3 linked regions of the Xenopus tropicalis genome follow. The protein of the gene in region 1 interacts with the protein of each later gene in a pairwise test. Links are inferred from orthologs where the notes say so. Each region holds a gene or a part of one and is shown on either strand. Other genes may lie near its edges.

The links.
Region 2: the proteins of ccndbp1 (region 1) and pias2 interact in binary tests that used the Homo sapiens proteins (3 or more experiments, as listed by UniProt). The two-hybrid records come from large-scale screens. The link is inferred for Xenopus tropicalis from reciprocal best matches to the Homo sapiens genes CCNDBP1 and PIAS2.
Region 3: the proteins of ccndbp1 (region 1) and mrpl15 interact in binary tests that used the Homo sapiens proteins (3 or more experiments, as listed by UniProt). The two-hybrid records come from large-scale screens. The link is inferred for Xenopus tropicalis from reciprocal best matches to the Homo sapiens genes CCNDBP1 and MRPL15.

The regions. Positions count from the first base shown.
Region 1 is NC_030686.2:18,723,690-18,734,826, forward strand, and holds the start of ccndbp1 (cyclin-D1-binding protein 1), read left to right. Parts: upstream 1-4,897; 5' UTR 4,898-4,979; coding exon 4,980-5,037; intron 5,038-6,351; coding exon 6,352-6,408; intron 6,409-7,347; coding exon 7,348-7,427; intron 7,428-7,518; coding exon 7,519-7,600; intron 7,601-8,352; coding exon 8,353-8,449; intron 8,450-8,566; coding exon 8,567-8,640; intron 8,641-9,137; coding exon 9,138-9,214; intron 9,215-9,433; coding exon 9,434-9,687; intron 9,688-11,137. Other genes in the region: znfx1 (NFX1-type zinc finger-containing protein 1), read left to right, coding at 1-227. UniProt on the Homo sapiens protein: May negatively regulate cell cycle progression. May act at least in part via inhibition of the cyclin-D1/CDK4 complex, thereby preventing phosphorylation of RB1 and blocking E2F-dependent transcription.
Region 2 is NC_030677.2:206,567,860-206,578,896, forward strand, and holds part of pias2 (E3 SUMO-protein ligase PIAS2), read left to right. Parts: intron 1-4,099; coding exon 4,100-4,571; intron 4,572-9,202; coding exon 9,203-9,287; intron 9,288-10,280; coding exon 10,281-10,331; intron 10,332-10,426; coding exon 10,427-10,517; intron 10,518-11,037. UniProt on the Homo sapiens protein: Functions as an E3-type small ubiquitin-like modifier (SUMO) ligase, stabilizing the interaction between UBE2I and the substrate, and as a SUMO-tethering factor.
Region 3 is NC_030682.2:114,998,201-115,009,337, reverse strand, and holds the start of mrpl15 (39S ribosomal protein L15, mitochondrial), read right to left. Parts: upstream 5,609-11,137; 5' UTR 5,492-5,608; coding exon 5,387-5,491; intron 4,312-5,386; coding exon 4,154-4,311; intron 2,746-4,153; coding exon 2,580-2,745; intron 1,027-2,579; coding exon 903-1,026; intron 1-902.

The sequences.
Region 1 (11,137 bases):
CCAATAACCATGTGTATGTCATAACAGAATGTGGAGGAGCAATGGAGCAGTCTAAATGTCCCGAATGTAAGGAGATCATAGGTGGCACACAGCATAACCTTCACCGTACAAACCGTCTGGCCCCTGAAATGGATGGAGCACGTCATGCAGCTTGGTCTGATACTGCAAATAACATGATGAATTTCGAAGAATTGCAAAGAGAACTGGACAACTTGGAACTGAACTGAAAGTTCAACAGCCAAATGCAAGACTACTGAATAATAAGATACCGTAACTAAGAAAAATAAATTCCTACTGGCCTGTATTTGTAGTTAAAATAGGAAAAATATTTACACCAGCACACCCTTACCTCCTCCAGAGAATTACTACTTGGTGCACAGCCTAGAGAGTCGGCACTCTCCACACAGTCCGGTCAAAATATTTCAGCCAGCACAACAAGTAAAGTGCAAGCAGGGCTTAGCCCTTGCATGTTTATTCAAAATGCAACGTTTCGGGGGCGTACCCCTTCGTCATGCCTGACGAAGGGGTACGCCCCCGAAACGTTGAATTTTGAATAAACACGCAAGGGCTAAGCCCTGCTTGCACTTTGCTTGTTGTGCTGGCTGAAATATTTTGACTGGACTGTATTTGTAGTTACTTGGATTAATTTGGAACAGATAGGAACAGCTAAAGAACCGATTTAACGATAGATTGCATTAGAATAAGTAATAAAATGCACCAGGCAACCTGTGATTCCTATTTAAATCAGAGTTGTTACTCTTTGCAGGGCTGGTAATATTGAATCAAAATACAGGTACAAGACCTGTTATCTAGAAAACTCATTATCCCATTACAGGAAGGCCATCTCCCATAGACTCTATTTTAAACAAATAATTATAATTTTCAGAAATTATGTCCTTTTCTCTGTGATAATAAAACAGTACCTTGTACTTGATCCCAACTAAGGTATAATTATTCCTATAGGGTTTAAATGTCTTTTTAGTAGTATGGAGATCCAAATTACAGAAGACCTTGGGTCCCAAGCATTCTGGATAACAAGTCCCATACCTGTAGTAATTTGTCCTCCAACTTTGGAGTCTTGGTTACATGGGACCAGGCTACTTAAACAGTGTTTCAATAGTACTTGTAGTCAGGATAAGCAGGGGAGAGAATAACAAGGGAAAGATAGTGTTTTTAATAGGAGTTCATTTAAAAGTAACTTTAATATCACTGAGACTATTCTGTAAATGTATGTTTGAAATTTGCTTAGAATTAGCTTTGCTTTCATAATGCAAAATGTTACATTTGGGTTAAAGTATCCATTTTAGATAGTATAAAAATGTGTATTGTTAAAACAGCTAGATTATGAGGAAAACAATCCCAGAAAAACTTCCCCCGCCCTGATCAACCTAAACCAGGACCGTTAAAAGGTATGGAATAAAAATTATGAAATTATTGATTAAATAAGGACTTTTTGGTGGGATCTCTTACATTCTTACATTATTTGTACCTTCTCAGTTTGTGTAATCCTTACCTTAAGTAGGTTCTGCTCAGTAAATAATCAATAAGCTTGAGCCTTATCCATTATCCACATTTTACCCTTTTGAAGGAAAGTCATTTTGATAATAGAGTTGCCATATTAGTACCACCTAGAACACTATATTTATTCTGCACAAGACTTTATCATACCTGATTAAAGAGCCGAGGGATCTTTCTCTGATTGCAGCTACCATTTTAGCTTGGTGTTCATGGCTTGCTGTTTGCAGTCTAGCCTTTGTAGCTCTGATCACACATTTCTAAGGGTGGGGGGAGTGAGATTTATGTATTCTTAAGGGAGGGAGAGAGGAGAGAACTGAGCAGACTCTTTCCCCAGTAATGATGGATTTTTTTGGGAAAGGAAGTCAGTTACCCTAAGTACCTGTTTACAAAAAGAATATATAATATATATATATATATATATATAGATAGATGACACACATATACGCTCACCTAAAGGTTTATTAGGAACACCTGTTCAATTTCTCATTAATGCAATTATCTAATCAACCAATCACATGGCAGTTGCTTCAATGCATTTAGGGGTGTGGTCCTGGTCAAGAAAATCTCCTGAACTCCAAACTGAATGTCAGAATGGGAAAGAAAGGTGATTTAAGCAATTTTGAGCGTGGCATGGTTGTTAGTGCCAGACGGGCCGGTCTGAGTATTTCACAATCTGCTCAGTTACTGGGATTTTCACGCACAACCATTTCTAATGTTTACAAAGAATGGTGTAAAAAGGGAAAAACATCCAGTATGCGGCAGTCCTGTGGGCGAAAATGCCTTGTTGATGCTAGAGGTCAGAGAAGGGTATTAGTATGGTGTTCCTAATAATCCTTTAGGTGAGTGTATAAAGTGAATAATGTACCCCCTATTGTAAAATCACAGAGGATTCCCATACAGGTCATTGAACTAACAGAATCCAAAATGGGGAGCTCCTGTACACAACTTTGAAGGCCTGGATGATTACTGTTATAGAGATGTGGAATCTGTGCTGTGGGCTGGTGCAGCAAGTGCACTATATAAAGTACAGCATTGCTAGCAATATTTGATTTAGTCCTCCTCTAAAGTGCAATGATGTCTCTTATACTATCGTCTCGGGTGCATCTATCTAATAAACTGTTTCATAGAACACAACCTTATCTTTTAAGCTTTTCAGCTGAAGCTAAATTTCCGAATGAAAACCTTAATAAGTAACAGCCACCAAATAAAAATTGTGATTCAAGCTAACCATGACTTATTTAATCATAACCGCCGAGTTGGTTTTTAAGGGTTGGTTATTGGTTGCTACGGTATGTTGATTTTAGGATTTGTATAGCATAAAGAACATTAATATATTGCAGACTCTGCATTTTGCGTCTATGCACCTTGCAAAGTTAATTCTATCAGAACCTGATTTTAACCAATAGCCAGTCCATGGCAGGCACTTTAAGTAAGGCAAATTTTTTAAAGCCATTAATGTTTTCTTATTGATTTTACTGTACATGTTCTGTGAGCAAATAAAACTGATTACTTTTGGATTTGTTTGATTTGTGTTCATTTTTATAATTCCCCAGTAAACTGTAAGAAATATTCAGATCTCTTTATTGCCACACTATAATGAAGATTCTTTAAAGGAGACATATTGGATAAATGGGAAAAAACGCTAATTTAGTAGGCAATTATGAATAATATATGGTGCTGGTTTCACTTTGGGCTAAACATTAACCCTATCTGTAACAATGGCCCCTTTATTGGAGCTCCCTATAGATCCTATCACTTCTCCTTCCAGTCTGAAATGAAGAGTGGGCGTGTCCTAATGGTCCCTGCCAGAAGCACAGTAGGAGGGGGATAGCCAATCATAGCCCTGCACTCACACAAGCAAAGACCGGCTTCAGTTCCCTATCAGGTCAGCCTAGCTGCTGATTGGTTCCTATCCTACAGCGCAGTGTATGGAGGGCCGCCGGCTCCCCTGCACATCCAGAGAATTCAGCCAGCAGGAAGTGGAACAGATGCATACCCCCCAACTGTCCCGCTTTGAGCGGGACAGTCCCGCTTTTTATAGCGCATCCCGCTGTCCCGGATAGTTCCCTGAATGTCCCGCAATTCCGTAATAGATTACGGAAATGCGGGACATTCATAGAGCGATCCGCGATAGCGGGATGAGAGGGCTTAAGCTGAGCGCTCCGACTGTGTATGAAGGGCACTGTGTATGGGGGGCTCTGTGTATGGGGGGCTCTGTGTATGAAGGGCACTGTGTATGGGGGGCTTTGTGTATGAAGGGTACTGTGTATGGGGGGCACTGTGTATGGGGGGGCACTGTGTATGGGGGGCTCTGTGTATAAAGGGTACTGTGTATGGGGGGAACTGTGTATGGGGGGTTCTGTGTATGAAGGGCACTGTGTATAAAGGGTACTGTGTATGGGGTCACTGTGTATGGGGGGCTCTGTGTATGAAGGGCACTGTGTATGAAGGGCACTGTGTATGGGGGGGCTCTGTGTATAAAGGGTACTGTGTATGGGGGGCTCTGTGTATGAGGGGTACTGTCTGGGGGAAATTGGAGGCACTGTCTATGGGGTAAAGTGGGGGCACTTTCTATGGGGGGTACTGTCTATGGGGGACCTGGGGGGCACTGTGTATGGGGGGTACTGTCTCCCCTGTGTGGGGGGGCAAAACTGGTAGATAGTTATAACTCACTTATAACTGACTGCCTTCTCTCTATATTTGTATTTTATATGTAGGAGTTGCTATTTTGTTTTCCTTAGGTAGTACAGTATAAGGGTATAGCACAAAGGAGTATTTTTAGAAAAACATGGGGTGTGTTAATTGGGACGTGGCCACAAAATTGCCGCGCTGCGTGCGCCAAATCTTTTTGTCCCTCTTTTCGTTTTTCAAATGTTGGGAGGTATGCAGATGGGCGGGGCCAGTGGGGTTTTTGTGGAATTTCTCAATAAATCAGTCAGAAACACAACATTTTTAAGCATAATCCTTCTATATCTAGAGGAGTATAATTCACTGGTACATTCATAATTTGTATAGGATAAAAGGCAATCATGTAGTTTAAGACCTAGATTTGTGGGAAGGCTCAGGCCCGAGGTTGGCATGCTGCCAGGGCCAAGTCTGCACTAATAACTAGTGACTGGTAATTATCTTTATCACTTTATTAACCTCAATTAAAATTAGCACCAAGCTTCATTTTTACTGCAAAGGGGACTATGTTCGGCGTCTTTTTCTTCGAAAAAATGCATATTCTTAGTTTTATCTATTAGAAGTCAAGCAAAAGATGCGTCATTTTAGTTTCAATGTTTTTTTTATTATGCGCTTCGCTTCAGAGCTTAGTTTCTGCTTATACAACCGGAGAAGAGAAAGCGATGTAACTGTGCCGGAAGTTTACAAGCTTTTCCTTACCGGAAGTGGCGCTCTGGTGCAACGCTGTCACAGTCTCGTCCTGCTACAGCAGACTCGCGGTGTTGGGTCCGCCGAAAATGGAGTCGATCAGGAACCTGGCGGAAAATCTAAGAGTAGTGCTGGGGAAGCTTCGAGGTGATTACAAAGACAGTCACTCACCTGTACACTTTTAAGGTCTCGACAGTGTGACACCAGCTGGGTTTTACTTGTTGCTGCGTTATATGAAAGTGGGAGTTGTAGGTCGACAGCATTACATTGCGCAGCCGGAGTCAATTATGAAGCAGAGCAGAAAGATTGGCTTCCCTAGTTGAGGGAGTGTATTCACATATATAAGGGATGTCAACATTGAAACCAAATATTAAGTACATTTTCACCTTGGCATATTGTTCCGATGTATATATGCTGGAGGCGGCATTGGTAGCACTATATATCTGAATTAAAAGGGATTAACGCTTATAGAGTGTATTAACCCTTAATTATATTCTGAGAATTGTAGTCTAACAACATATAGGGACGTTAGAAACACACTGTCCAAATAGTAAAGTTGGAGGGGTTGAATTGGTCATTTTTCTTCAGGAATTCATTTCATGACCTATGTTGTATGTATGGCAAGGGCTGTAAATGAACTCGATCCATCTGATCTGACCGGGTAAAAATACCAAAACTCTATTCAAGCTTATGCAAAATCCTGGTTTAATTATAAAAGAGGCTAATTATGATATTATAATAATAATAATCCCTTAAGGGACAGCCAGAATTTCATGGGGGCAGTTAGATATTGAATTTAGATTCTCTTTAATGAATATGTCTGTTTTGTTGGGAATATATGATGTATGAGCCTATGGTGAATATAAGGATAGATCTCAGGTCCAGACTAAGGGGCTGATTTACTAATCCACGTATCCGAAAAATTTGGATTGGAAAACAAACATTTTGCGGCTTTTTCATATTTTTTGCGACTTTTTCGTATTTTTTGCGACTTTTTCGTAGCCGTTACGACTTTTGTGAATTATCGCGACTTTTTCATAGCCATTATGACTTTCGTGAATTGTCGCGACTTTTTCATAGCCATTATGACTTTTGTGAATTATTGCGCCTTTTTCATAGCCATTATGACTTTCGTGAATTGTCGCGACTTTTTCATAGCCATTATGACTTTCGTGAATTGTCGCAACTTTTTCATAGCCATTATGACTTTTTTGAATTATCGCGACTTTTTCATAGCCATTATGACTTTTGTGAATTGTTGCGACTTTTTCATAGCCATTACGACTTTCGTGAATTGTCGCGACTTTTTCATAGCCATTACGACTTCGTATTGAGCGCTCAAAAAAGTCGCAAAATACCGATCATTACGAAACAAACGCATTCGGACGCTTTTCGGACGTTCGTGGATTAGTAAATGTGCCCCTAAGAGTGAGACTGAGTGCTCTTGCCTTGTTTCTGTAGATGGAGAACCCAGAGAGAGTGAGAAATTCAATGCACAGCATTTCTGGGGAACACTGGGTAAGTAACTGACACAAGGCTTGTAACGTTATGATGGAATAAAAAACAGAAATTGTCTGCTAGGAATTTTCCATTTGTTATGTAGTGCCTGTACATGATTGGTTGAAGTAGCTTTGTACAGTGTGACACAGGGATGCGCCTTCTGCTTTAGTTTAAGTTTATAGAGAGAGTAAATGCTTTTTCTTTTGTGTACAGAGGGCACTGCACTCTAGAAAGGCAGCAGAATTATATATCTACTGCCTCTGTCATTGACTGTCTGTAGGAGCCTTCTGCTATCAGCAGTAGGCTGCGAGGTGTGGTTCTGTATCATCTCCAGAACATCTGTTCAACATTTATTCCCTGTAAACACTGACACATTCCACAAGTGTCTTACACAAAAAAAAAATACACATTATGATATATTTTCCAGTGCTTAGGGAATCGCTGCAGATAATGCAAATGACAAGGTCATTACTTATTGCACTGAAAGTAAGTTTAATTTACACGTGCTTGGGGGAAGGGGTCGGGTGGGTGGCGGGGTCATTCTGGTCAAAAAAGATGAATTAAATGTCCCCTTGATCTCCTGGCATGCACCTGGGAAGGCGAACTTGTTGGAAATCCTCTTTAAGGGTTTGTGAGCCTTAAAAAAAAAAAAATGCAAAAAGTTCCTGTAACTGTACAGGAAAATCTCCTTGACTTACAGTTACAGGAACTGACCAGCAGGTGGTGCTGCTGTTACAAAATTCATTATATTGGTAGGTAATAAAAACTTCTGAAACTGAAAGAAAGAAATAATTAATGTAAATTGCAAAAGTGCTTAAAAAAAGCACCACTTATTTTTTTAATATTCTTATACTCTTATTCTTCAAGATCTTTGAGTCCCCCAAAGTATAGAAGTGAGGAAATTGCTATATACATATTATTTGTGTCTCTTACAGTTATTTCCTATATTTTTCATAGGACATTCAATTAAAGCAACATCTCAAGAAGCGACAAAGCTGAGTTTGGCTTTTTTGAAACCACCTCTGCCTTCAGAAGAGGTAAGTGATATCCCATACAGACAAACGGTCTATGTGAAATCTTTATTCAGGATAACACATAACTTATTTCACCCTATTTCCCTTACCCCAGGGCAGCCAGAAGCTATGTGATGGACTTCTCAATGCTATCTTAGCAGATGCCACTGTGTACTATTCTCTCCCAAAGGAACAAGGTGAGAAGCAGTGTCCTGGACTAGTATCTGGTACGGTGTGATTTCTCAGCAGTCCGTATATTCAAGGTTTATCAGCCATTCTTTGGTAATTTGTATGGAGTTTTTCATAGTTCAGTTGGGTTGAAAAAAGACCAAAGTCCATCAATTTAACCCTTCAAAGCAAACCCCAGCACACATTTAGTTTGTAAGCTCTACGGGGCAGGGACCTCCATCCTCTTGTCTCTTTGATTCTATTATTTTAATAACCCCCTGTATTAATCTATTCTGCTGTACAGCACTGCGTACATAAGTAGTGCTTTATAAATAATGATGTGCATACATACACATAAACCCATTGCTGTCCTTAAAAAACGATTGTGGAAATCCTGAAGAGTGCTGACACTTTCTATTGCTATTCTACTACTGCTGCTCTGGCACCCAGGTATTGTAAAAAACTTGTTTGGTGTGCTCTCCATTCTGCACTTTGTGTGTGTGTATATATATATATATATATCAAACTCAACAGTAGAAAGCACTCACAGCTACAGCATCAATCAGGTCAGTGATTTATTTCAGCATACCATATACACGTTTCGATCACCACAGGATCGTCATCAGGATATATATATATATATATACCAACATCAAAACTAATTGTAGATTGTAGTATCCCAGAATCTGCGATCACATTACTCACAAAGGGCATTCCCTAACCACACTGCCCACAGAGCAAATGGTCCATCATTGAACCCTAAATCTTTACTCTTGTCTAGGTATCACCTTGCGTAAAACAGTGCGAGAGGCCGTGGCAGACATTATAGAGGGTACCATCCAACTTGCAGAAGTCATCCTAAGCTCCCGTATTCAGAGGTACCACTATTTTAATTTTGTATTCATAATGCTTCCCATACCCATACATTTGTATTTTATTTTACATTTGTTTCTATTCACTGTCTCTTCTCTTTCTGACTCCTGATATCCTCTCAGTCTGTCACAGGCACAGCTGGTATCCACAGGCAGTGTATGGGAGGCATGTGACCAGTGGGAAAAACTTCCTAAAGGTTTGCCATCATATATAGAAATATCTTTTCACCTTTCCATCTGTATTCTTTCAGTGTCTATTAATCGAGGACTGTTGATCCACCTCATGAGCAAGAGTACAGCACAGCGATTCTAAGTGCCATGATATGCACTGATAATCAGCAATATTGTATTGGGCCTCATTGTAAGGGACTAGAACTTTAATGGACTACTTTGTCATGTCCTACATTGTCATGCTGTAAAAGGTTTAAAGCCAATTGGCACTGTGTCCCCTAATTTTTTCACTGCTAGGTGTTTGTAAGCATGCAGTGAGAGCATGTTGCCTTCAGGTGGCACAACAGTTAACCAGCTTAGAGGTGACTGCAGGGTAGATCTGGCAAAAGCTTCCCCTTTTACCAACTACAGTCAGTACAAAAACTCAGGCGCTTAAGCACCTCATAGTACACCAATTCTTCACAACTTTTATTCACTGAAAGGAGCAAAAGCTCTTGTTAATGTGCTCCTTTCTGTTTTACAGATAACCTTGCTGCAGTGCAGGTGACAGTATCAGGGTACCTAGATGTTGTTAAGGATGCCATAGAGGAAGTGGAACAGGTAATACAGTCCCCTCTTCTGCAAGCATTTTTCCTACTTGGTAATATTATGGCACATATAGCAGCCTTGTGTAATGGTATAAATTCAGTGATGGTTGATTGTAGTAATAGACTTTAGTTCAGGAAAATCTCTAAATCCTTGTGATTTTTGGTAATCTTACATATTTTAATTATGTCTCTATCCTCTTTCTTATCCCACATTCCCTGTGTGCCTACTCAGGCTCAAGCAGATGGGGAGGATCCATTCAGCGATATCCCAGAGGATGATGAGGTTGGTGCACGTGGAAATCAGGACACATATTGGTCAGAGGAAGATCGTAGGCTCATGGCTCCCTGCCTTGGCCTCATGAAAGCATCCAAAGCCTGCCTGAAAAAAATTCTTGGGGCCATAAAAGCTCATGGGAAAGCCGACACAGCAGAGCATGTGGCCCAGCTAGATGACCTGGTGGATGTCACTCTGGAGGTCAGCCCTAGGTAACAACTGGCTTCACATACCATTCTGTTTATAGTATCTTAAACAAAGTCACATGTGATATAGATAATCAGATATTTTGCTAGGCATTTCAGTATCCAGTATCATCATTATGGGTCCATTAAACAACATTCAGTGACTAGCAACTGTTACCATATAGATGAATATAAATGGAATAGGCTTTAAAGGAGAACTAAAGCTTAACCAAGAATAGACTAGAAATACTGTACATTATGTTATGGTGTTCTTTACCAGCCAAAGGCAACGGAATCCCTTTAGCAGACAATCTGTAAATTTGATGATGCCTTCAGTAGCTCCCCTTCTTCTTTTCTACTGATTCACAGCACATGCTCTGTGCTGCTATCATTCACAATATACCATTATTAATAATCAGCCCAGCTGTATCAGTGTCTAAGACATCAAACCTCCTTTTCTGCTGCATGATTTGTGACAACCCCTATGCTTAGCTTCGCAACAGCTGCCCAGAGCACACTGAGTATGTGCAGTGTCACTGACACTCGTAATAGAATCCAACATAATTACTCCCTTTGCACAACTTTGAAGGCCTGAATCATTACTGTAGCAGAGTTTCTTAAACTTTAGGCTGGTGCAGTAAGTTCAGTATATAAAATATAACATTTCTACCCATATTTGTTTCCTAGTTTACCCAGTAACCCATAGCTATAGGTTACTGCTCCTGAGCAAACTTAGTGCCTTTTATTACATAACCCCTTAAAGGGGTTTTTCACATTTGAGTTAGCTTTTAGTATGATTTAGTGCTAATCTGAGACATTTTGCAATTAGTCTTCATTTTTTATTATGTGTAGTTTTTTAATTATTTCAATTTTTGTTTGGTAGCTCTCCAGTTTGGGGGTTTAGTAGCTTTCTGGTTGCTATGGTCCAAATTACCTTAGCAACCAGGGAGTGGTTTGAATGAGAGACTGGTATGTGAATTGGAGAGGACCTGAATACAAAAAAACAGTTATAAAAAGAAACAATAACAGTAAAACTGTAGCCTCACGCAACAATAGTTTTCTGGCTGCCAGGGTCAATGACCCCCATTTAAAAGCTGCAAAGAGTTAGAAAAATAATGCAAATAATTAAAAAACTATAACAAATAAATAATGAAGACCAATTGAAAAGTTGCTTAGAATGGACCTTTCTAAAACATACTAAAAATTAACTTAAAGGTGAAACCACTCCTTTAGGTGTTTTGAGATATTAATTTTCTTTCTTTCTTAGTAAGCCAATTGAATTCAGTTTTAAAAGAATGTACAATTTCAATTCAACTATATGACTATCTGTCATATAGAGTAAGCCTATTGAATTCCATTTTAAAAGACTGTACAATTTATAGTCCGTTATATGGCATCTGACTAGAGGCTTTGGAGCTTATGTTCATCTGTTTCCTAAAACCCACTGCTGGCAGTTACTGTTTCTCATCCTCTATGG
Region 2 (11,037 bases), on another chromosome or scaffold:
TGTGACAGTGAGGCATGCTGGGTAATAGAGCCAAGAGGAGAGCCAAGGGTGGGAATGGCACAGTTACACTGTGACAGTGAGGCATGCTGGGTAATATAGCCAAGAGGAGAGCCAAGGGTGGGAATGGCACAGTTACACTGTGACAGTGAGGCATGCTGGGTAATAGAGCCAAGAGGAGAGCCAAGGGTGGGAATGGCACAGTTACACTGTGACAGTGAGGCATGCTGGGTAATATAGCCAAGAGGAGAGCCAAGGGTGGGAATGGCACAGTTACACTGTGACAGTGAGGCATGCTGGGTAATAGAGCCAAGAGGAGAGCCAAGGGTGGGAATGGCACAGTTACACTGTGACAGTGAGGCATGCTGGGTAATATAGCCAAGAGAAAGCCAAGGGTGGGAATGGCACAGTTACACTGTGACAGTGAGGCATGCTGGGTAATATAGCCAAGAGGAGAGCCAAGGGTGGGAATGGCACAGTTACACTGTGACAGTGAGGCATGCTGGGTAATATAGCCAAGAGGAGAGCCAAGGGTGGGAATGGCGCAGTTACACTATGACAGTGAGGCATGCTGGGTAATATAGCCAAGAGGAGAGCCAAGGGTGGGAATGGCACAGTTACACTGTGACAGTGAGGCATGCTGGGTAATATAGCTATGAGGAGAGCCAAGGGTGGGAATGGCACAGTTACACTGTGACAGTGAGGCATGCTGGGTAATAGAGCCAAGAGGAGAGCCAAGGGTGGGAATGGCACAGTTACACTGTGACAGTGAGGCATGCTGGGTAATAGAGCCAAGAGGAGAGCCAAGGGTGGGAATGGCACAGTTACACTGTGACAGTGAGGCATGCTGGGCAATATAGCCAAGAGGAGAGCCAAGGGTGGGAATGGCACAGTTACACTGTGACAGTGAGGCATGCTGGGTAATAGAGCCAAGAGGAGAGCCAAGGGTGGGAATGGCACAGTTACACTGTGACAGTGAGGCATGCTGGGTAATATAGCCAAGAGGAGAGCCTAGGGTGGGAATGGCACAGTTACACTGTGACAGTGAGGCATGCTGGGTAATATAGCCAAGAGGAGAGCCAAGGGTGGGAATGGCGCAGTTACACTGTGACAGTGAGGCATGCTGGGTAATATAGCCAAGAGAAAGCCAAGGATGGGAATGGCACAGTTACACTGTGACAGTGAGGCATGCTGGGTAATATAGCCAAGAGAAAGCCAAGGGTGGGAATGGCACAGTTACACTATGACAGTGAGGCATGCTGGGTAATAGAGCCAAGAGAAAGCCAAGGGTGGGAATGGCACAGTTACACTATGACAGTGAGGCATGCTGGGTAATAGAGCCAAGAGAAAGCCAAGGATGGGAATGGCACAGTTACACTATGACAGTGAGGCATGCTGGGTAATATAGCCAAGAGAAAGCCAAGGATGGGAATGGCACAGTTACACTATGACAGTGAGGCATGCTGGGTAATATAGCCAAGAGAAAGCCAAGGGTGGGAATGGCACAGTTACACTATGACAGTGAGGCATGCTGGGTAATATAGCCAAGAGAAAGCCAAGGATGGGAATGGCACAATATGACAGTGTTACCAGCACATTGGTGCCCTCCTGCAGGAAATGAGGGACTATAGCTTTAAGCATTTGGATGTGATTGTGTTTCCTGTTAGTGGTTTGGGGACAGTAGGGCACAGGGGTGTGGTACAAAGTTGGTGATTTGCAGACTCCTGGTACCGACAGGAAGTTGATATATTTATCATTTCGTTCTGGAAGTTTCCATAAAGGGGAAGTATTTACCCGGAGACAATAAATGCAGGGCTGCACCTGTTCAGCTCCCACCTGTGGGCTAGAATGATGGACCAATAGCAACGCCTTACAAGGATGACGTTTGTTTTGTAGGCAGCGTTGCACTCCTGGCAAGTTGGTTCTGTCCCCGCCCACTAGAAATTTGGCTACACGCCGGCACATTGAGCCAAAGAGCAGTTCCACTAGCAGGTTGCCAGTAAGTCTCCAGTTGGCACTAGGGTGCCACCTCCCTCCTTTAATACCGGCCACATATTGAACCCATGGCTAGTTAGCAGTTAATTTAGATGCAATCTCCATGGCTGTACAGGCATCTAAATTACTTGCTAAATAACCATGCAGAATGTGGATTCAATATGTGCCTGGTATTAAAGGGGTGAGGTCAGGGTTGGACTGGGCCGCCGGGACATGGGGAAAAAACCCGGTGGGCCCCTGCGACCCAGACCCGACCCATGATGTGTTAAACTTACGCGCGCTCAGGGGAGGACGTCGGGGGAGGGGGTGTGGGGGACGCGCCCGGCGGGGGCACCTGGGGCGGAAGCCTAGGTGGGCCCTGCACCCCCTAGTCCAACCCTGAGTGAGGTGGCAACCTTAGCTAGGGCAATTACATGTACACATTTGCTGACCCTGTTCTTGCTCCCCACCAATTGGAAGTTTTCACTCCTGCCATCGCCAGCTTCCCAAACCTACCCCCGTGGGGGTAGCCAGCTTCCCCTCTCGCCCCCCCCCCCCCCCCCCCAGTATTGCTAGCTGCTATTATGTATAGTGTTTATGCTGTCATTAAAGGTCACCACTGGGGCCTGTTTGTTATTAGACACACCTCTAGGTCATGTGCTCCCTAATATTATTAGGTATAGGTCACCTTTAGAGTAACTTTTAGTATTTAGTTTTTAGTTATAGAATGGTTGGTCCTTAGCAACGGTTTAATTGGTCTTCATTTATCTTCAGCTTTCAAATGGGGGTCACTGACCCCGGCACTGACTCTGACCCGAGCAAAACCTCTGCTCTGTGAGGCTACAATCGTATTGTTTATGTTCCTTTGTATTCCTTATCTTTCTTTTCAGGCTTTTCCTATTCATATTCCAGTCTCTCTTTCATACCGCTGCATGGTTGGTAGGATAGTTTGGACCCTAGCAACCAGATAGTTGCTGATATTCTAAACTGGAGAGCTGATCAAAAACCACAAATAATTAAAAAAAATGAAGGGCAATTGCAGATTGTCTCGAAATAGTACTCTACTCTACAGGGGTACTCTACTCTATATCAGGGGTCTCCAAACTTTTTTTACCTGTGAGTCACAACTTGGGGAGCAACACAAGCATGAAAAATGACCTTGGGTGCCAAATAAGGGCTGACTGGTTATTTGGTAGCCCCTGTGTGGACCAATTAGGCTCGAAACGTTGCTGCTGCCCGTATTGTGACAATATTCAGCTTTCAAAAGGGGGTCACTGACCCCGAAGCCAAAAATCTATTGCTCTTTGAGGCTACAATTTTATTGTTATTACTTTTTTTACTACTTATCTTTCTGTTCAGGCCCTCTCTTATTCCAGTTTCTCATTTACACTGCTGCCTGGTTGCTAGGGTAATTTGGACCCTAGCAACCACATAGCTGCTAAAATTCCATACTGAAGAGTTGATGAACAAAAAGCGAAATAATTGAAAAACCACACATAATTAAAAAAACAAAGGTGCTCTCAATAGCATACTAAAAGTTAATTTAAAGTTGAACAACTCCTTTTATTTTTCCCAGGCAAGCCATGTTGTTTATTCCAGTTAATGAGAAGCATATACTACTTAGGATTCGGTTGGGCCTGGACCGTGGATTTGGCCGAATCCGAACCCTGACGAAAAAGGCCGAATACCGAACCAAATCCTGGATTCGGTGCATCCCTAATCTGTATAAAGATTTCAAGTTGTTGTTGACATGATTATCATGTGGGCCATTGACGTCAGAGGATCCAAGATGGCAGCTATAAGTTGCTGTTAAGGAATACTTTTACTGCAAAACAAACCTAGCGTTTAGCAAGGGAGCACTAATATTGGACAAGGTGAGGGTTTTTGGATAGGGAGGCGCTCTTTTACTGTTCCTATCCAACTGACCAATTGAACTGAGCAGAGAAGCACCAGTAGATTCCTCCTGTATCATTAACTTAAGCTTTTGCCATTCTGTCTAGCTGTCTGGCTGAACAAAGCAGCAAGACGCGCTCCTGAATAAATGTATTAGTAGGCAGTTTAAAACTGCTAATGTCATTAAAACTTAAAAGAAAAACAAAAAAAGAACTTTTGTCTTTTTGCATTTCAGAATATGGTGTCAAGCTTTCGGGTCTCAGAGCTTCAAGTGCTTTTGGGCTTCGCCGGGCGAAACAAAAGCGGGCGCAAGCACGACCTTCTTATGCGGGCCCTCCATTTATTAAAGAATGGCTGCAGCCCTGCTGTCCAAATTAAAATCAAGGAACTCTACCGACGACGCTTTCCGAGGACCCTCGACGGAGTGACGGGATTAGCGCCCATCAGGTCCAATGTTTTCAATCTGGACAGCAGTGCCCCGGTGGATCCGGACTTGGCAGTTAGTGGGATGCACTCCCTGCCTTCCACCTCCGTTTCACCTTGTTCCCCCGCATCCCCTCTGGGGTCTGTACTGCTGCAGGACACCAAAGCTCCATTTGAGATTCAGCAGCTGTCCCCCTCGATTCCTCCTGTGCACCCAGATGTCCACCTTAAGAGTCTTCCGTTCTACGATGTGCTCGATGTTCTGATTAAACCCACAAGCTTAGGTAAGATCCGAAGTGTATAAGCTTTGTGCAGTGATTAATGGATTTGTTCCCCTCTCAGGAGGGGTGACCAGCAGTGTTCTAAAAATATTCACCTGTAATTGCTAACATGCCAACGTAAGTACCCACTGCCAGTCACTATCTGTTCTAGTACAAGTGTGCTGCTCTACCCCGGCAGTTCTATCTATTGTGTGACAGATAAAGCCCTTGCGTTATTGTCTTTCCAGGGTACTTTCTATGGGAGCACTATGCTGCCAAGTTGACCCAGTCTCCCAGGGAATTTTTTTGCAATGTAATAGGCTGGTACAAAGAATCCCAAGGTAAAACTGAATCAATTTTATTTATCGGGAGGGTGCTTCCTAATTAATATGACTTTCCTTGTCCTAAAGGGGTAGTTAGACTTTCTCCATTGTCAGCTTGGGGGACATGGGGAACGAGGAATAGCATGGTGTAGCTTGTACCACTAGGAGGCAGGACACAACAATAAAACAAGAACTAGCTCCTGCTCCTCTATACCCCCCCCCCCCCCCAGCAAGCCCAGTTTGTTTTTTTGTTGTCTACTGGATTTTATTATTTTCTCTTTATACAGTCAGTTTATTCTGACACCAGGAGATGCAAAAGACTCCTACACAGAGTAGGGTGTCAACCTCAGGCATCTCCCATCATGGGATTGTCTCAGGTTTCTTCTGCTGAGTTTTATCCTTCACTTCTGGGGGGGGGTTGTTAGTGACCCCTATAAACACTACAGTGGCTACAGCACACTTAACTCCTATTGGCTGTGTCTCCTGTCAATCTGACACTGCTTCCTGTGTCTGTGACAGACTGCTGCAGATATATGTTAGATTAGTGATATGCTCGGTCTGTGTGCCTATGCCATTGCTAGGGAGAAATTAACCAATGACCTGTCAATTTATGCAACTGGTTAGAGCGCACAAGCAACCAATAAATTGGTCCAATAGGAAACAAGTAAGGGCAAAGCCTGGCAGTGATAATGGAACTGAAACTGGAACTGGAAGTTCTCAGTGTGTCAGGTTAAAAAGAGGCCACTCCCATCCCTTAAAAAACAGATCAGAGAGACAGAAGGACTGATTTAACAGGAATAAAAAGTAGCTTTTACAGTGGCTTTTACTTTTTTATGAAAAATAGATTTTCTAACACGCTGAGAGCATTGTTGGTGGTTTAAAATGAATTGGACATTGAAGGTGAACAACCCCTTTAAACTTTCCCCTATTGGAATTATTTTGCTCTTAAACCTCATACTGCCACCATTCAAGGTGAATAGTGGCAGTATGAGGTGGCAGGGGAATGCTTGGTTCCCCATAGGGAAATCCCACCACCCTCTGTCCCATTTTAGCCTATCACTGAATGGGCATCCCAGCTGGCCATGGGGATACCAAAATTTGCTTACTCACTAGCTTTTGACCTTGCTCAACAATCCAAAAGCCAAACGCAGAGCTACTTCCCTTTCCAAGGATAAAAACAAAGGACATTCCAGAAATCCTTCTCCCCTAGGAATCTAGCCTCTCACAGTTCAGATCATTGGATGATCATATTCTCATAGTGTCTGTTCTGGAAACACTTCAGAGGTCCCTTCGGGCTCTTCCAAGACTCCAAGGCTCTTCACAACAAGTCCTCACCTTTGTTCCCTTTTCACGCCCAGCTTGACCAGATTAATCAACAGGAATGGGACAAACAAGACGTTTTGAAGATAGTCACAGCTTCTTAAGATTGTATTCATTCTCACCAGAACTCACCGAGAAATGGTCTTCACCATCTTCAGTGGGTGCTGCTGTATTTCTGCTTTCTAAGAACACCAGATGCCTTATCCTTCAATGACTCTATGCACAAGATGCTGGAAGGCTTACTGCGTTTCTTGTTCATGGCCTCAGGCATTTCTCTTTGCCCTGTTGTGGCTACAGCCTGGGTTAGCAGGCAACACATTAGGCACATTGTTGCGAGTGATAGTAGTAGTCCTGTGGCCAGACACTTTACACATTGTTGCGGATCTGATGTATCGCTTTTACAGATTCAAGTAATTGATAGGATTTTTCCAGATGAAAGACGTACAGACATGTATGAGAGGCTTCTGCGTTCTGAGGTCAAATGGATATTTATTCTCGATACACAGCATCCCAGTGGCCTCAATTCCATTTTTCTAGCCTCATGAATACTATCTGTTCTGTATTCTCTCATTTTAAGTGGATTACTAATTTATTATCAATCACTATTTATTACAAATTATTATCTTTTTATTTATTATGGCTCAATATGTATCATATGAAAAATGTGTGAAAGTGATCGTTATATGAAGTCTTGCTGATTGTACATATTATGTTGTTGAAGGTCTTTTTCCATCATTGTTCCAATCATGAGGGTGGGTGCGTGTCTGTTTTACTTTGTATGTCAATCAATGTGAAACACTATTTAAACCTTCCTATCATTATGTGTTTATGCCTATGATTAAGTGCGCACGTGCACGAAACGCGTTAGACGCTTTGTTTTTAAATGGACTAATAAAGACCTGCTTTTAGTGAGACTTCTCTGTCCGGAGCGCTTGGTGAAATTATTGTGAGCTAAATGTGAATATAAGGACAGATCTTTTGCCCACTCTTGGACTTCAAAGAACTCAAATAATTCATCTGACCACGGAGGTTTCACTCGACATAAAGTGTCATACCTTCATGTTCTTATTTTTCCTCCCCATCAGAGGTACTTGCGTTTTGCCTTCCAAAACCACCACTACCAGTTTATAGCCCTTTCGTTTGTGACCTCAGCTCCTCATGTGTTTACCAAGACTATGGCAGTGGCCACAGTGGTGATGCAGAGCACGGGGATATCCATAACCCCTCATTTGGACAACTTACAAATCAAGTCACCTTGCCTCTCAGAGACCCAGCATTCACTCCTCTCTACCATGAACACACTGCAGGAACTTGGTTGGTGCTTCAATACTTGACAAATTCTCCTTGATTCCCACTCAGTCCTTAATGTTCCTAGGGATGCAGTTTAATACACGGGCCAAGAGGTTATCCGTACCACAAGAAAGATTCTCCACCACCTGTCACTGGTAAAGACCAGCCTGACGAAATCAGCACACTCAGCCAGGTTCTGCATGAAAGTCCTAGGGAACTTCAAAGGAACATTCTCTTGGCCTGGACAGGCCCTATCCCAGGAAATTTGACTGTCCCGTTAACAGGAGCATCTCTCTCCTGGTGGCTCCAAACCAATCACCTCTCCACAGGCCGACCCTTCGGGGACCCCCTGTGGTGACTTCTGACAGTGGATGCTAGCCTTTTTGGTTGTGGAGTGGTCCTGGAGGGCCATTCAGCACAAGGCCAGTGGACAGATGCTTTCACAGCCTTCTGGAACTTTCTCCTTGCCTATGCCTTCTCTCCACTTCATCTCCTTACCAGGACAGTCAAGAAGTTCTGACGGGAACTGGCCAATCTCATTCTCATAGCCTCTTAGCACCTGGTTCTTGGATCTTCTAAACCAATCCTTGGCCTCTTCCTCTCCTACCAGATCTTCTCTCCCAAGGTCCGATAAAGCACCCCAATCCAGCCAGCCTCAGTTTAATGGCGTGGCTCTTGAAACCAGGATCCTAAGGCCACAAGGGGTTCTCTGATGCTGCACCTTTCAAACACAAAACTTCGGTTTCACTTCAGTGGCTCGCTTGGAAGATCTTCTTCCTGGCAGTATTACCAAAACCATGTCAGCATTCAACCGACATGGTTCTGGTAATTCTTGATAGTCTTATATATCTGTTGTATTAAAGTTGAAGTATGTTGTTTTACACTCTTGTTTGTTTTTTTTTTTTTAAGAGCCTAGAATTTTAATGAAATAGTTCGTTTCTATGGATGCACTGAATCCCATAATTGGTTCAGTATTTAAGCAAATTCAGTTTCAGGGATTTGGCTGCATACCGAAATCAAGGGTTTCTAACCCTGATTTTTCACAGTCCCATGAATTTCAGTGCATTTACCATGTGCCATGGCCAGGGCCACCATCAGTGGGGTACAGGGACACTCTAATCAGGGGCACCAAGAGAGGAAGGTGGAAAATCGTGATTTGCAAAGGGGGGCAGGGCTTGCAAGGAGAGGGTGGCGTTAATGGGTGGGGGGGTTATCATAATGGGGTGGATGAGGAGCATTACCATGTATGCATGGGCATTTCTTTTCCACTGGGGCCCTGTTCTACTTGTTGGCACGGCTCACAACCCAGCGGACCAGGTGACTGGTGAGCTAATAATTGATTACCCATGGAAGGAAGGGTCCTGCTTACTTGTATTGGATTAGGGAACCCACAGTTACTGATGGCTACAGATAAAATTTGTCCCTAGTAGAATTCCATCAGGAAGGCTAAGGAGAAGAATGGTAGGGACTGAGTTAAAATAGGCATTTATTGAGAGTTAGTGTGGATCTAGCAGTCTAATTTTTCTAAAGTTTTGAGCTCCAGAGCCACAAACACAAGCGCCTAAAATATGTTATTGCCTATGCCTCGTAGACAGACTGCAGTTATTTTCTTTTAGCGAGATGTTTTCCTTTTTTTTTTTAAAGGATATTTTAGAAAACATTTGTATTTAGCATTTTGCAATATGTTCGTGCTCACAATTGCTCTTGACTGATTCTCTTCAGTGCAGAACACTCTTCAAAGATTTCAAGAGAAATTTTTCATCTTCGCATTGACCCCTCAACAGGTGCGAGAAGTTGTCATCTCCAGGTAAGTTATTGCCATGCTGCTTATTGGAATCTATTGGGGTCTGTCACTCCTCTCCCCCCACATTGTCTGTCGCTACCAGCTCATCATTATCCTTTATTAAAGGAGAAGGAAAGGCTAATAAAAAGTTAATCTCAAGCTGCAGGCATACCTTCAGTTGTCTCAGTAGTGTCCTTAAGTCTCCCCATATTTCTCCCGTTCAGAGCCAAACAGGAAGAAAAACGCTGAACTGTATAAAGAAAGTTCCCATAATGCCGCACTCCTGCACCGAGACCAAGTGAACATGCTCAGTTAGTAAGACTATGTGGAAGCTTCCTGCTGATTTGCTCAGATCCACATTTCTAAGGGGGGAGTGAGTTCTTAGCATTCTTGAGGGATGGGGGAGCAGGAGAGGAGAGAAAGCAGAGAGCTGCGTGTCTGTGACACATGAATTACAGACACAACAAATCTTTTGACAGAGAAGTCAGTGCAGCGTTTCTGTGAGTGCTTATGGCTGTATTTACACAGACCTTTCTGATAAAGCTTACTGAGTTTTTACCTTTCTTTCTCCTTTAAAGGTGGCCATACACAATAAGATCCATTTGTTTGGCGAGGTCGCCATGCGAGCGGATCTTCTCACGATATCCCCACCTACAGGTGGCCAATATCGGGCTAATTCAGGGCCAAACCATCGGATTAGAACGGTGGGTGTAGGGCCGTCGGTTCAGGGATTGCATCAACAAGCTGATGTGGTCCCCGATCCGACAGAAAAATCAAACCTGCCCAATCCAGATCTGGCTGATTTCAGGCCAGATTTTGGTCGGGTAGGCCCGTTGTTCATGCCCAAACACGGGCAGATAAGCTGCTGAATCAGTCTAAAGGACCAATATTGGCAGTTGGATTCGGCCCATGTATGTATGGCCACCTTTAGATAGCAATATTTTAGAAAGATTTCCATTTATTTCATATTTGTCATTACCCTATTTCTCTCAAGACCCTGTTTGTTTCTTCCAATAGAGATTACATGCCAGGTGGCAGAAGAGATTACTCAGTCCAGGTCCAGCTAAGGTAATGTTCACGCCGCTATACCACATTTGCCTTATTAGAGTCATCTGCAGTTCTTTATGCCCGCCTACAGAGCCATTTGTTTCTATTTTAAATAGGTTATGTTTAGCAGAGACTAGCTGTCCTCAAGAGGATAACTATCCGAGCAGCCTGTGCATTAAAGTTAATGGGAAGCTGTTTCCTTTGCCGGTGAGTTAATAGACTGAACCGCAAGTACAACTGTTTTTTCCCTGTAGGCTTTATATATACCGATACAAAATTAAGGAACCTAAGAATAATAAAAGTAAGGTGCTAATTGTAGTATTCACAAACCAGTGTGTGTGTGTAAATGCCCATCTAGAATATATAATAAATACATATAAATATATATATATAAATATTTATATATATGATGTGTATAGTAGGGAGTGAAAGTTTTTGGGCTTCTGGTGCTCTGGACACATGGACGTCATGTACAATGCCAAGATGCAGCAGATATGAAGGCTAATTTCACCTTAAAGGAAAACTATACCCCAAACAATGTAGGCCTCTCTAAAAATATATTGCATAAACAGCTCATATGTAAAACCCTGCTTCATCTAAATAAACCATTTTAATAAAAATATACTTTTTTAGTAGTATGTGCCATTGGGTAATCCTAAATTGAAAACTGCCATTTTAAGTACTAAGGGCCGCCCCCTGGGATCATAGGAGTCACAGTGCACACAAA
Region 3 (11,137 bases), on another chromosome or scaffold:
CTACCTGTAATCTTGAACTGGTCCCACTACCTGCTACTGTTTCAGGTATGGGTATGGGATCTGATATCCAGAATGCTTGGGACCTGGGGATTTCTGGAGTAAGGGATTTACAAACCTTGAGTCTACTGAAAAATCACTGAAACTAAAATAAACAGAATAGGATTGTTTTGCCTCCAATAAGGATGAATTATACCTCAGTTGGGATCAAGCACAAGGTACTGTTTTATTGTTACAGAGAAAAATGAAATCATTAAAAAAACCAAACTGTAATTTATTTGATTAAAATGGAGTTTATGGGAGATTGCCCTTCCATAATTTGGAGCTTTCTGGATAATGAATGCAATACCTGTACCAAAAAGTTATTGCATTTACCCAAGAAACGCTGTGAAAAATGATCCATTAAAAAAGTAGCTCTATATAATAATAAAAATTCTAATAATGATGACGATGATTATAATGATGGGGGATAAGTTATGACCTGCTAGTTACATAGGAAGAACCAGGTCAGAAGATTTACAATATATAATCACAAAAATAGTGCTGATGGCTATAGATTTCTTTAATCGGTGCATTTTAGGACCAAGGCGCATGGGGCTTTTAACTAACACTGCCTTTACTGGGAAAATGGCAGCATTTAAACACTGGAAATCAGAAGGTCACCTTCCATTGACTACAGTAGGAAATATCACATGTAGCTGACAATGTTAGAAAATACAGATGGGTGTATTCTGTGGCAAAAATTCATCAACTTCTCATTTTAATCAGTGGGAAGTAACATTTGTCAATTCTCAGTGCTTATATGCTTGCACTTACTAGGAATATACTTTAGGGTGCACTAAATGCTCAGCCATGGTTAATACATTTCATGCAATTGAAAGAATAAAAATATTTCACACACTCACCCAGACTGCGTGGATCATAGAAACCAGTTGTTATCACACCACCATTTTTCTCTACTGCTGCGATGGCCAGCTGTGAGGCCCACTGCACTTCAATGTTAATTTTAGCTGAAAATATGTCAGAACCCTATAAAAGCATCAAAATAATATGATTGATGAGCTTGGGTAATCCATGCAATTACAGTGCAAATGAATGGGATTCCATTACCTAGACTTAAAAGAAGGATTTGCATGGCAATATTAGATATCAGCTGACCAAGGACCCCAAACATTCTGACTTGTGAGGCAATGCTGCAGAAGCAGCATGTTAATGTATGTTCTCCCAGTGGTGATTTACATTTTCCCAGGTGGAAAATCATTTTAAGGAGATTAATCTTCATGTGTACCGTAGCCAAGTAAAACTACAGCAGCTCCAAGTCATGTGAATAAACACAAATAAAGCATGCTGTGCATACTAACCTATGTCAGTACACTGTACAGAATATTTAAATACCACAAAAATAAATCTACAGTCTACATATAAGCAGACTCTAGTGTTCTTTGGGGAGGCCAAATAAGGACTGTGATTGGCTATTTGGTAGCCCCATGTGAACTGCTAGCCTGCAGGAGGCTTTGATTGGAGTAACTGTGTCTCTGCTATTCCAGCTAGACACGATTAGGCTGATGACACACTAAGAGATTAGTCACCCCGCAATTAATCTTCTCTAACGGTGGTGACTCTTTCTGTATTCAAACAATCTAGGTGTATTTATACTTTTAACCAAGAGCTTCAGGCCAAGGGCATATCTTGGCTGGAGGAGAAGACACTGATCTGCTTCCTTCTGCCCTGAAAGGCACAGTATCAACCTGTTAGTGCACAGACAAGGCAGACTTCAGCAAAAAAGCAACAACAAGTATGCATTTTGGCATCAAAATCTGCCCAAAAACAACCCAAATGCCATGTCTGTCTGTCTGTCTGTGCAAACTAATGTCTGAGCAGAAGGAATCTGTTTTCTTTCTGTCACAGACATGCCTGCTGTGATCTTAAAGGACAAGGAAAGGCTAAGTCACTTGGGGATGCCAAAATTTTAGCCCCCCCCCAAGTGACTTTAATCACCTACCTTGTACCCCAGGCTGGTGACCCTGTTAGGAGAAAACAGCACCAGGGGTACCTGTAGTGAGTGCTTCCTTCTTCCTGCTTCGTTCTGCCAGGACCCCGGGACCGGCGCATGCGCAGTAGAGTGAAAAGCCGACTTCTCTGTTAAAGTTCGGCTTTTCCCTCTACCGCACATGCACGCGCATGCGAACAGGAAGGAGGAAGCGCTGCAGCTACCCCGGGCTGGTGCTGTGCTCTCTGTACAGGGGCACCAGCCCCGGGTACAAGGTAAGCGATTTAAGTCACTTGGGGGTGCCTAACATTTTGGCACCCCCAAGTGACTTTGCCTTTCCTTGTCCTTTAAGCTATATTTAAAAAACTCGTGGTTGTAGAATGATTCAGTTAAATTAACACAGCAGTTGCTATTTTAAACAATAGACATTTTTAGATTATGTTCAGGACAAGTTATGTCTTTATATGTCACAACATAAGGAAAATACAAAGTATATTAAGTCTGTGTGAGTAGAAACCTGGACACTTAGTTATTCAGTGAATTAGGGGAACAGTGATAGTGAAAATACAGAGATAAAACAGATAAACTTTACCTCTTCAACAAGTTGTACACCGTAATCCCTTTTGAGTGGCTGTATTGTAACTCCCCTGGCATTGACAAGCTGTGTTAAGTCAATGGGTTGTGCCGGGTCTATTCGACCCAGATCAATGAGGTACTGGAGACGACGGAGACTAAGAGGCTGGTATTGTCGCCGAAAGCTAAAGAATAATAAGTTACACTGCTTTAATATAAATACGTTATATAAGTTCATTACATTATCCTGGATCCATGTCAAAGCTCAAATTAATGCATATATATTTTATATATAAAAAATGAATCTTACATAATCACATTATAGCATTCTGTCCCAGTGGAAGAATTATTTCATCAGCTGCCCCTTGCTAGCTGTATTGTCAGTGACCTCTACCAATCTTCAAGCAGCACAACTTTCTACATTCCGGCAACCTTTTTTATGATCCATGTGTTAATTTATACAGATTCTCGTGCTACAGTGCTGTCACTGTTTATTATTTAACCTGTATCACATGCCTTATTCACACAGGTTTTTTGACTAAAAATAATACAGTACCAATATTCTGGAGGAAATACCAATATTCACCACAAGATAAATAAATGTGGTGTATTCATGTGTTGCACCTAAAAAAAAAAAAATGTATATTTTCTTTATTTTTTCATTATAAAGAACCAATAGCTGATTTTTTTGTATCCTTTTTTATACAAAGAGTAATAATAATCTTTGATAATTAGACCCCCCCCTCCTTCTTTCCCATTGACTACTTTTCAGAATGACACCTCTGTATAATAGATCCCTTCTTATGTGTAACTAGAAAGGTTGGTTTGGCAGTAGACTGGTGATGTGCCACCATCGTTTTTGTTCTCCCAGGTATCCCCAACACCAGTGCTGCCAAACTTCTGTGGTACAAAGGGCTGGAATTTTCTGGCCTATGTGGTGGAGGGCCTGACAGATAAGAAGCTTTCTGGGAATGCACAGTGAGTCGGGTAGTTATGTATGGGCACACAAAAAAAAGGTTTACTTCTTTAAAGACAGATGGCAAAGCAGCACTCAGCAAACTGCACCCAGCTGGTGCATTTTTATGCTGCTAGCAGAAAAGCAACTAGAATCCTGGGGGGTTCCTAACAACTTGGCGCCCCCATGATTTTTACCTCTTCTTACCTTTCCTTTAAGCCTTTTCTAGAACAGCTTGTTTGGCTAGGAAAAGATTTAAACTATTGCTTCACACCACTATAATGTGAGGCCTTTGTTTAACTTGTTCCACATTCCTATACTAATATTAGTAAAAGCAAACTAATCCATCACACTGTGCACATGGAGAGATCTCAAATTATTCTTCACATTTCCAGCTAGTCTGCTGCCATTGCTCTACAACTTCTATCAACAGCCCTAAATACTTAACTATTGGGAGAGGATATAGTGGGTGATATAGCTCAGTAAGAGCTGGAGGACTGTACAATACTTTAGTAAAGTACGGTACATATCAACAGTGTAGCTTGTGTAGATATGCCTATAAGGGGCAAGTGGTATATATGAAAATTAAATTATGCAGTCAGTTAAACTTATATTGTGATAACATATCAGCTACCTACCTATGTCCTTCATTGTAGCCATATTTAGGAATAACTAAATAAAATGGCGTTTGGCCACCTTCAAAGCCTAAACGTGGTTGATTTCCTCTCTGGGTCTCTCCTTTGTGCCCTCTGCCACTTTTTCTACCACCATGGATACCCCGACCTCGTCTTTTTTCCTAAAAGTTAAAAAAGAATAATTAACAAGGAGATAATTTCTTTCTGATAAAGGGATTCTGTTACAAAATGCAATCAGGGAGTACACACACTTTCACAGTCTGTTTTAACATTTAACTGCAACCAGGACCTGTAGGTAACTATAAAAGCCCTGGAGGCTTCTGGCGATCTACCTATAAACTTCTACAGGGGTTACATAATAAAAGGTGAAAGTTTGCAGCAGGTCTAGTCCCCTACAGCAACCAATCAGTAGGCAGCATTTGCTGGTGCTCATCTGTTATAAACCAATAAGATGTTTGATTTTAATGTTTTACTGAATCTGGGTAAATTTTTTCCTATTTATTACATACAGATATACCAGTTATTATATAATGTACCATAGTGAAAAGCTTCCAAAGAGGGTTGAAGCAGAAAATGAAATACATGAATGGAATGCATTATTTTAACTAATTATACACATAAGGCCAATTTACTAGACAGCTATATTTACTAATTTTTAAAGGAGCAGTATAATCCTTTGCTCAACTTGACTTCCATAAATAGGGATTGTGCTTAACATACTTATTGCCTGTTGTTTTAAATCAATAAACATCAATGGTTTCTGTTAATTTGTGAGCTAAAAAGCTTATTAAGAATTATTACCTGCACTGACTCTCAATCACTTTTCTAAAGAGAATGCGAAATACCCAAGTCCAGGCCAGTTCTGCTAGAATGACCGGTGGCTGATTTGATCAGTGTTGGCAGCTGAAGTATTGTATATTTTATATAAAGCACAACTGACCTTGCCATGCAGACAGCCAAACTACTGGTGCGAGAACTACTGTTCCTTAAGCAGGCTGCACACTGCATACAATACATCTAGTTAAGAGGTTCTGCATAGCTGTACACCGAGACTGCTCTGCACTGTATCTTGTTGTGCCTAACAAGCGATAGCAGCATGCCTATCAGAGCAAACCCCGCAAGGGATCACATTAGCCGCCTGTGCCTGGCATGGAGCGCATCTCGGAAGCATGTGTGCGCAGATATTACAGAAAGAAGTGCGGCTAGGGGAAACAGTATCTGAGCGGTAAGTCTCACCTTGTGTCTGGCACCGGGATTCGGTCTCAGGTTGGCAAGAGTAACCCGCGGCAAACATCTCAGCAACTCTGTAGCTTTCTCTCCGCTGCCTCCGGAAGCCGCCATAGCTACAACCTGAAGGGCATACTGACAGACCGGAAATCACATGAGTGAACAGCCGCGCCCCCTATCGCAGCTTTAGGGCAAGTCATTGCACTCAGTCCCGGTCATTCTCATAGTAATGTAGGTTAAACAGTGAGAATGCGGCATGGGCAGGGCATTTGCTTCTCAGTTGTTTCTTTTATTAGATATGGCCGGGACCCTTCAAAGACAGTTCCATGTGTAATAACGTGATATTCAGGGTCAGCAGTGTAATAATAATAGTTATAATAATAATAATAATAGTGTAACTAATAGTTGTGTTTGAGTAATATTTTGTTTTTCCCCCATTTGTTTTAAAAGCAAACGGCATGGAAAATAGGTCATTAGTGGTGTAATGCAATAAAGATAAAGCTTCTCAGTGCTAGTGCCCCAAAAATAGGCCTTATGGTTGCCAAAATGTTTTTATGTGAGTATAAAGTCTGGGCATCTCTTGTGTTGCCCACTGTAACAAACCATGGGGCTCTGTACCACAGCCAGTCTGGTAATGGTTATGGTGGGCACCTTTTTTTGGAAAACAGTACCAGCCTTTCCTTATAAATTTGTGGTAGTAGTTACTTTTAAGGCCACTCCCATATTTTAAAGTCACACCCACCTTAACAGGGTTATTTACCTATTGGCCTATTCCTAGCAACTCTGCAATTTGCCTTCCTTTGCTACATCTTTTCTGCTTTCAAATGGGAGTCACTGTCCCTGGCAGCCCAAAAACTATTGCTCTGTGAGCTTACAGTGTTATTATTATTGTTACTTTTTATTCAACACCCTCATTCATATTCCAGTCTCCCATTTAACCCATTGCCTGGTTTATAAGCTAAAGACATGTAGGGGATCAGAGAACTCTTTCCCGTGTTTCTCAGTCTGTGATATCATCCCACCCGGCTACAGACTGGGGAGCAACCCGATTGGCTGGATGCCCCAGTGCACTGTTGGGAGAGAAAGGCGTGTCTAGGTTTGGAGCCAAAAATCAGTGGCGGGCCCAGCAGCTTATATAGGGAGCCCCTGTTGGTTTGCCAGAGTTAAGACAGAGAGATCCAGTAAACAGTGACTGTGACGCTAAAGGGAATTGCTGCTGAGTGCCAGCCTGTAAAGTGAGATCTGCTACACAGCGGTTGGATGCCTTTACGACCTGGGATCCCCAGTGAGTGATCTATCTGAGGGAAGATATTGAAAGTCTGTGTGTGTCCCCTGGGTGAGGACAGGTGTTTTTCGTGGCCTGCTACTTGGGAGCAACTGCCTATTCCAAAGGGAGAGGTACTTTGGGGCAGGTAGCGCTGCCTGGGGAAACCGAAAGAGCTCTGGGGAAGGGACTTTGCCAGCACTGAACTGGGAAAGGGTATTTCCTCCAGGAGTGGAGTGTGGAACTGTGTCCCAGAGAGACTGAGCCAGTCATGGTTAAAATACCACAGGTTTCCAAAGCAGGGTTATTATTGTTTGCATGTTAATGCTATTTTATTTTCACTCCGTTATATAAAGTTGATATTTGCTGCAAACTGTGTGTGATTATTTCCTAGTGGAAATCCCCTTGAGGTGTGCTCCTCAGTGTCCACTAGGTGGAGGCACTGCGCTAAAATACCAGTCCCAGTACCTTTTATCTGCATTAGGGAACCAAATCTCCTGCACTAAGCAAGTAATACAGCCCAAAATAAGTGAGTGTGCCAAGAAAGGGTTACACACAACTTTAGTAACCAGATATCTGCTAAAATACCACACTGGAGAGCTGCTAACAACAAAAAAAATATAAAAAATTAAAACCAATTGCAAATTGTCTCAGAATATCAATGTCTATGTCATAATAAAAGCACATTGTTCAGTAAGAACAGGTAGTACTGGTACCCCCTACAAATTACATGAGCAAAACAATGGGTCCTGACATCACCACCAGTAATATCAATTGTTAATGGCTTCCCAACACATTATACAATAATAAAGGGTAATGGGAACCCTTATACTATATACTTCAATAGCAACAGATAATAGAATCACCAACGCATTATAGTAAGTACAGTAAGAGCACTGAGCAATATCCAGGCCATCATTGGGGGGAAATGCCACTGAAAAGGTGCAATGAGCTGAAGTGGGCTGATCAGGGGCCTGGCCAGGTAGGCCTATAGGGCCCATGATTCTTGTTGGTAACCCTGATACCATTCAACATCTCTGTTGATCTTCTCACATAGTTACATAGTTAGTTACATAGTTACATAGGGTTGAAAAAAGACCATTGTCCATCAAGTTCAACCCATCCGAGTAAACCCAGCACACAACCTATACTAACCAATCTATACACTCACATACATAAACTATATATATACAACCAGTAATACTAACTGTAGATATTAGTATCACAATAGCCTTGGATATTCTGCTTGTTCAAAAACTCATCCAGGCCCCTCTTAAAGGCATTAACAGAGTCTGCCATTACCACATCACTAGGAAGGGCATTCCACAGCCTCACTGCCCTCACCGTGAAAAACCCCCTACGCTGCTTCAAATGGAAGCTCCGTTCCTCTAATCTATAGGGGTGACCTCTGGTGCGCTGATTGTTTTTATGGGAAAAAAAGAACATCCCCCATCTGCCTATAATCCCCTCTAATGTACTTGTACAGAGTAATCATGTCCCCTCGCAAGCGCCTCTTTTCCAGAGAAAACAACCCCAACCTCGACAGTCTAACCTCATAGCTTAAATCTTCCATCCCCTTAACCAGTTTAGTTGCACGTCTCTGCACTCTCTCCAGCTCATTAATATCCTTCTTAAGGACTGGAGCCCAAAACTGCACTGCATACTCAAGGTGAGGCCTTACCAGGGACCTATAAAGCGGCAAAAATACAAGACAGCACTTTATTTGCTGTAGTAGCCACAGAATGACACTGCCTGGAATTGGACAACTTGTGATCTACAAAAACCCCTAGATCCTTCTCCATTAAGGAAACCCCCAACACACTACCATTCAGTAGATAGTTTGCGTTTATATTATTCCTACCAAAGTGCATAACTTTGCACTTGTCAACATTGAACCTCATTTTCCAGTTTGCTGCCCAGTTTTCCAATTTTGTCAAATCGCTCTGCAAAGCGGCAGCATCCTGCATGGAACTTATAGTTTTGCACAATTTAGTGTCATCAGCAAAAATAGAAACAGTACTGTCTATGCCCACCTCCAGGTCATTAATAAACAAGTTAAAAAGCAAAGGACCAAGGACTGACCCCTGCGGTACTCCACTAACCACACTGGCCCAATTAGAAAATGTTCCATTTACCACCACTCTTTGTACTCTATCCTTCAGCCAGTTTTCTATCCAATTACAAATATTATGTTCTAGGCCAATATTCCTCAATTTGATCATTAACCTTCTGTGAGGTACTGTATCAAACGCTTTAGCAAAATCTAAGTAGATGACATCAACTGCCATTCCAGCATCAAGGTTCCTGCTCACCTCCTCATAAAAGGCAACTAAATTAGTCTGGCAAGATCTGTTACGCATAAAACCATGCTGGCACAAACTAATAGTATTGTGAACTGCAATGTATTCAACTATCCTATCCCTTATTACCCCTTCCAGAAGCTTTCCTACTACTGATGTCAGACTAACAGGCCTATAGTTTTCAGGCTGAGAACGAGATCCCTTTTTAAATAATGGCACCACATTAGCAATCCGCCAGTCTCTCGGCACCATGCCAAACCTCAACGAATCCTGAAAAATTATGTGAAGAGGCTTGGCAATCACAGCGCTCAATCCCATCCGGTCCTGGACCTTTGTTTACCTTTACATGTTCAAGTCTCTTTTGAATTTCCTCCTGAGTGACCCACGCGTCAGTAGCTAAATTACTAGCACTGGGTAAATTAAAAGGGAAGCCTTCATTATCTGGCTCCTCAGATGTATAGACAGATGAAAAATAAGAGTTCAAAATTTCTGCTTTTTCCCCGTTCTCATCAACCAATGTACCCCCCCGTGATAATAAAGTTCCCACCCCTTCTTGCTTCATTTTTTTACTATTCACATAATTAAAAAATAATTTTGGATTCTTTTTACTCCTTGCTGCAATATCCCTTTCCATCTCTATTTTAGCTTGCTTGATAGCTGTTTTGCATGCTTTATTTGCTTCCTTGTACCTGATGAAAGTTTCCGCTGTCCCAGCTAACTTGAATGCTTTAAAAGCACGTTTTTTATTACCAACCTCGACCTTAACTCTTTTATTCAGCCATAAAGGTTTTGCTTTGCGATGCCTCTCCTTGCTTACAAGGGGAAGCGTTGCCAGTAGACACGAAGCATGATAGTTCAAAGAGGGACTATAAATTGTACAGTATCAGCATTTTGGCCTCTTAGAGGCAGTGCTTCAGAACTGACAATACATGGCAGGTAAGAGGTTAATTTCCATAAATGTAAGGTCTGGTGCAAAACATTAAATAAATCACAAGTAATAAGTTAAATGCAAAACATTAAATCAATTACAAACCCCAAAAATGTTAAATTAAAACCATTACAAAGTGTCTCAGAATATCAATAATCTACATGCAAACATTTAGGGGCTGATTTATTATTTGGTTCCTAAAACTCATGGGTGGTTTCTGCATCCGAATACCTTGGCTTGCTGCCGATCGTATTTTCTTTTCCCTGAGCAGCTTTTAAAAAAATAAATAAACTCGGCACCTTAAACCTGCTGAGCTTTTTATTTTTTTGTTGGGGGGAGAAGGATCAATCAGTAGCAAGCCAAGGTATTCCAGTGGAGGAACTCTTGTGGTTTTAGGAGCATAAATCAACCTCTGTAATGTTACAATGGACTGCACCATTAAAACAGGACATATAGCCTAAATTAGAACTTAAAGTAACATTGCTCAGAATACAATGCGATAGAACTGATCAAATAAGCATCTCAAAATGCTTTACAAAATTAAACATTTGTCGTTCTACCCAGCCCTTACCTTGGCTTAGCAGCAGAGGGAACATAAGTTACTTTCCACAATATTAGCAGTTTAAGACATTCTGTCTCATTTTGCTTCGCAAAAAAAAAAAAAAAATAGCAAAATGCATTGAAGTCAATGGGCAACAATTTTTTTTTACAGCCATTGAAGGCTATGGGGTTTTTTTTGCAGCAAACTGGTGAAAAATTTTACTCATCACTATTTCTGGTATGAAATCTAAAAATCAATGAATGCAAATTGCAAATATGCACCTAAGAGCATTAAGTTCTTATTTAGGCTATATGTCCCTTTAAAAAAATGATTTTTGAATTTCAAATAAGGCAATATCTGTCCATGAATACCTATATTGTATGTGCCTTATGTTGCTACTGTAGAATTTTAGTTGATTTATAAATCCCTATCATCTCAGTAAAAAGGTCATTCCATTTAAAGTACTGCATTATTGAATGACAAATATAAAAACTGAAAACACAAAAAAACAGTTATATAAATGCTAGAAAAAAAGCAGCCATGCAAATGGCTCTTATTAGAAACTGTACTCAAGTCAGATGACAAGAGTTATTTAATGTAATGAGAACTGGAATGAGATTATTCTGCAAATATAAGGATGCTGTTATAACAGGGGAATCACAAGTAAATACACCAGATGTGAATTGTATTATTGGATCATTGTAATGCTTAGTAAAGTAACTTTCCT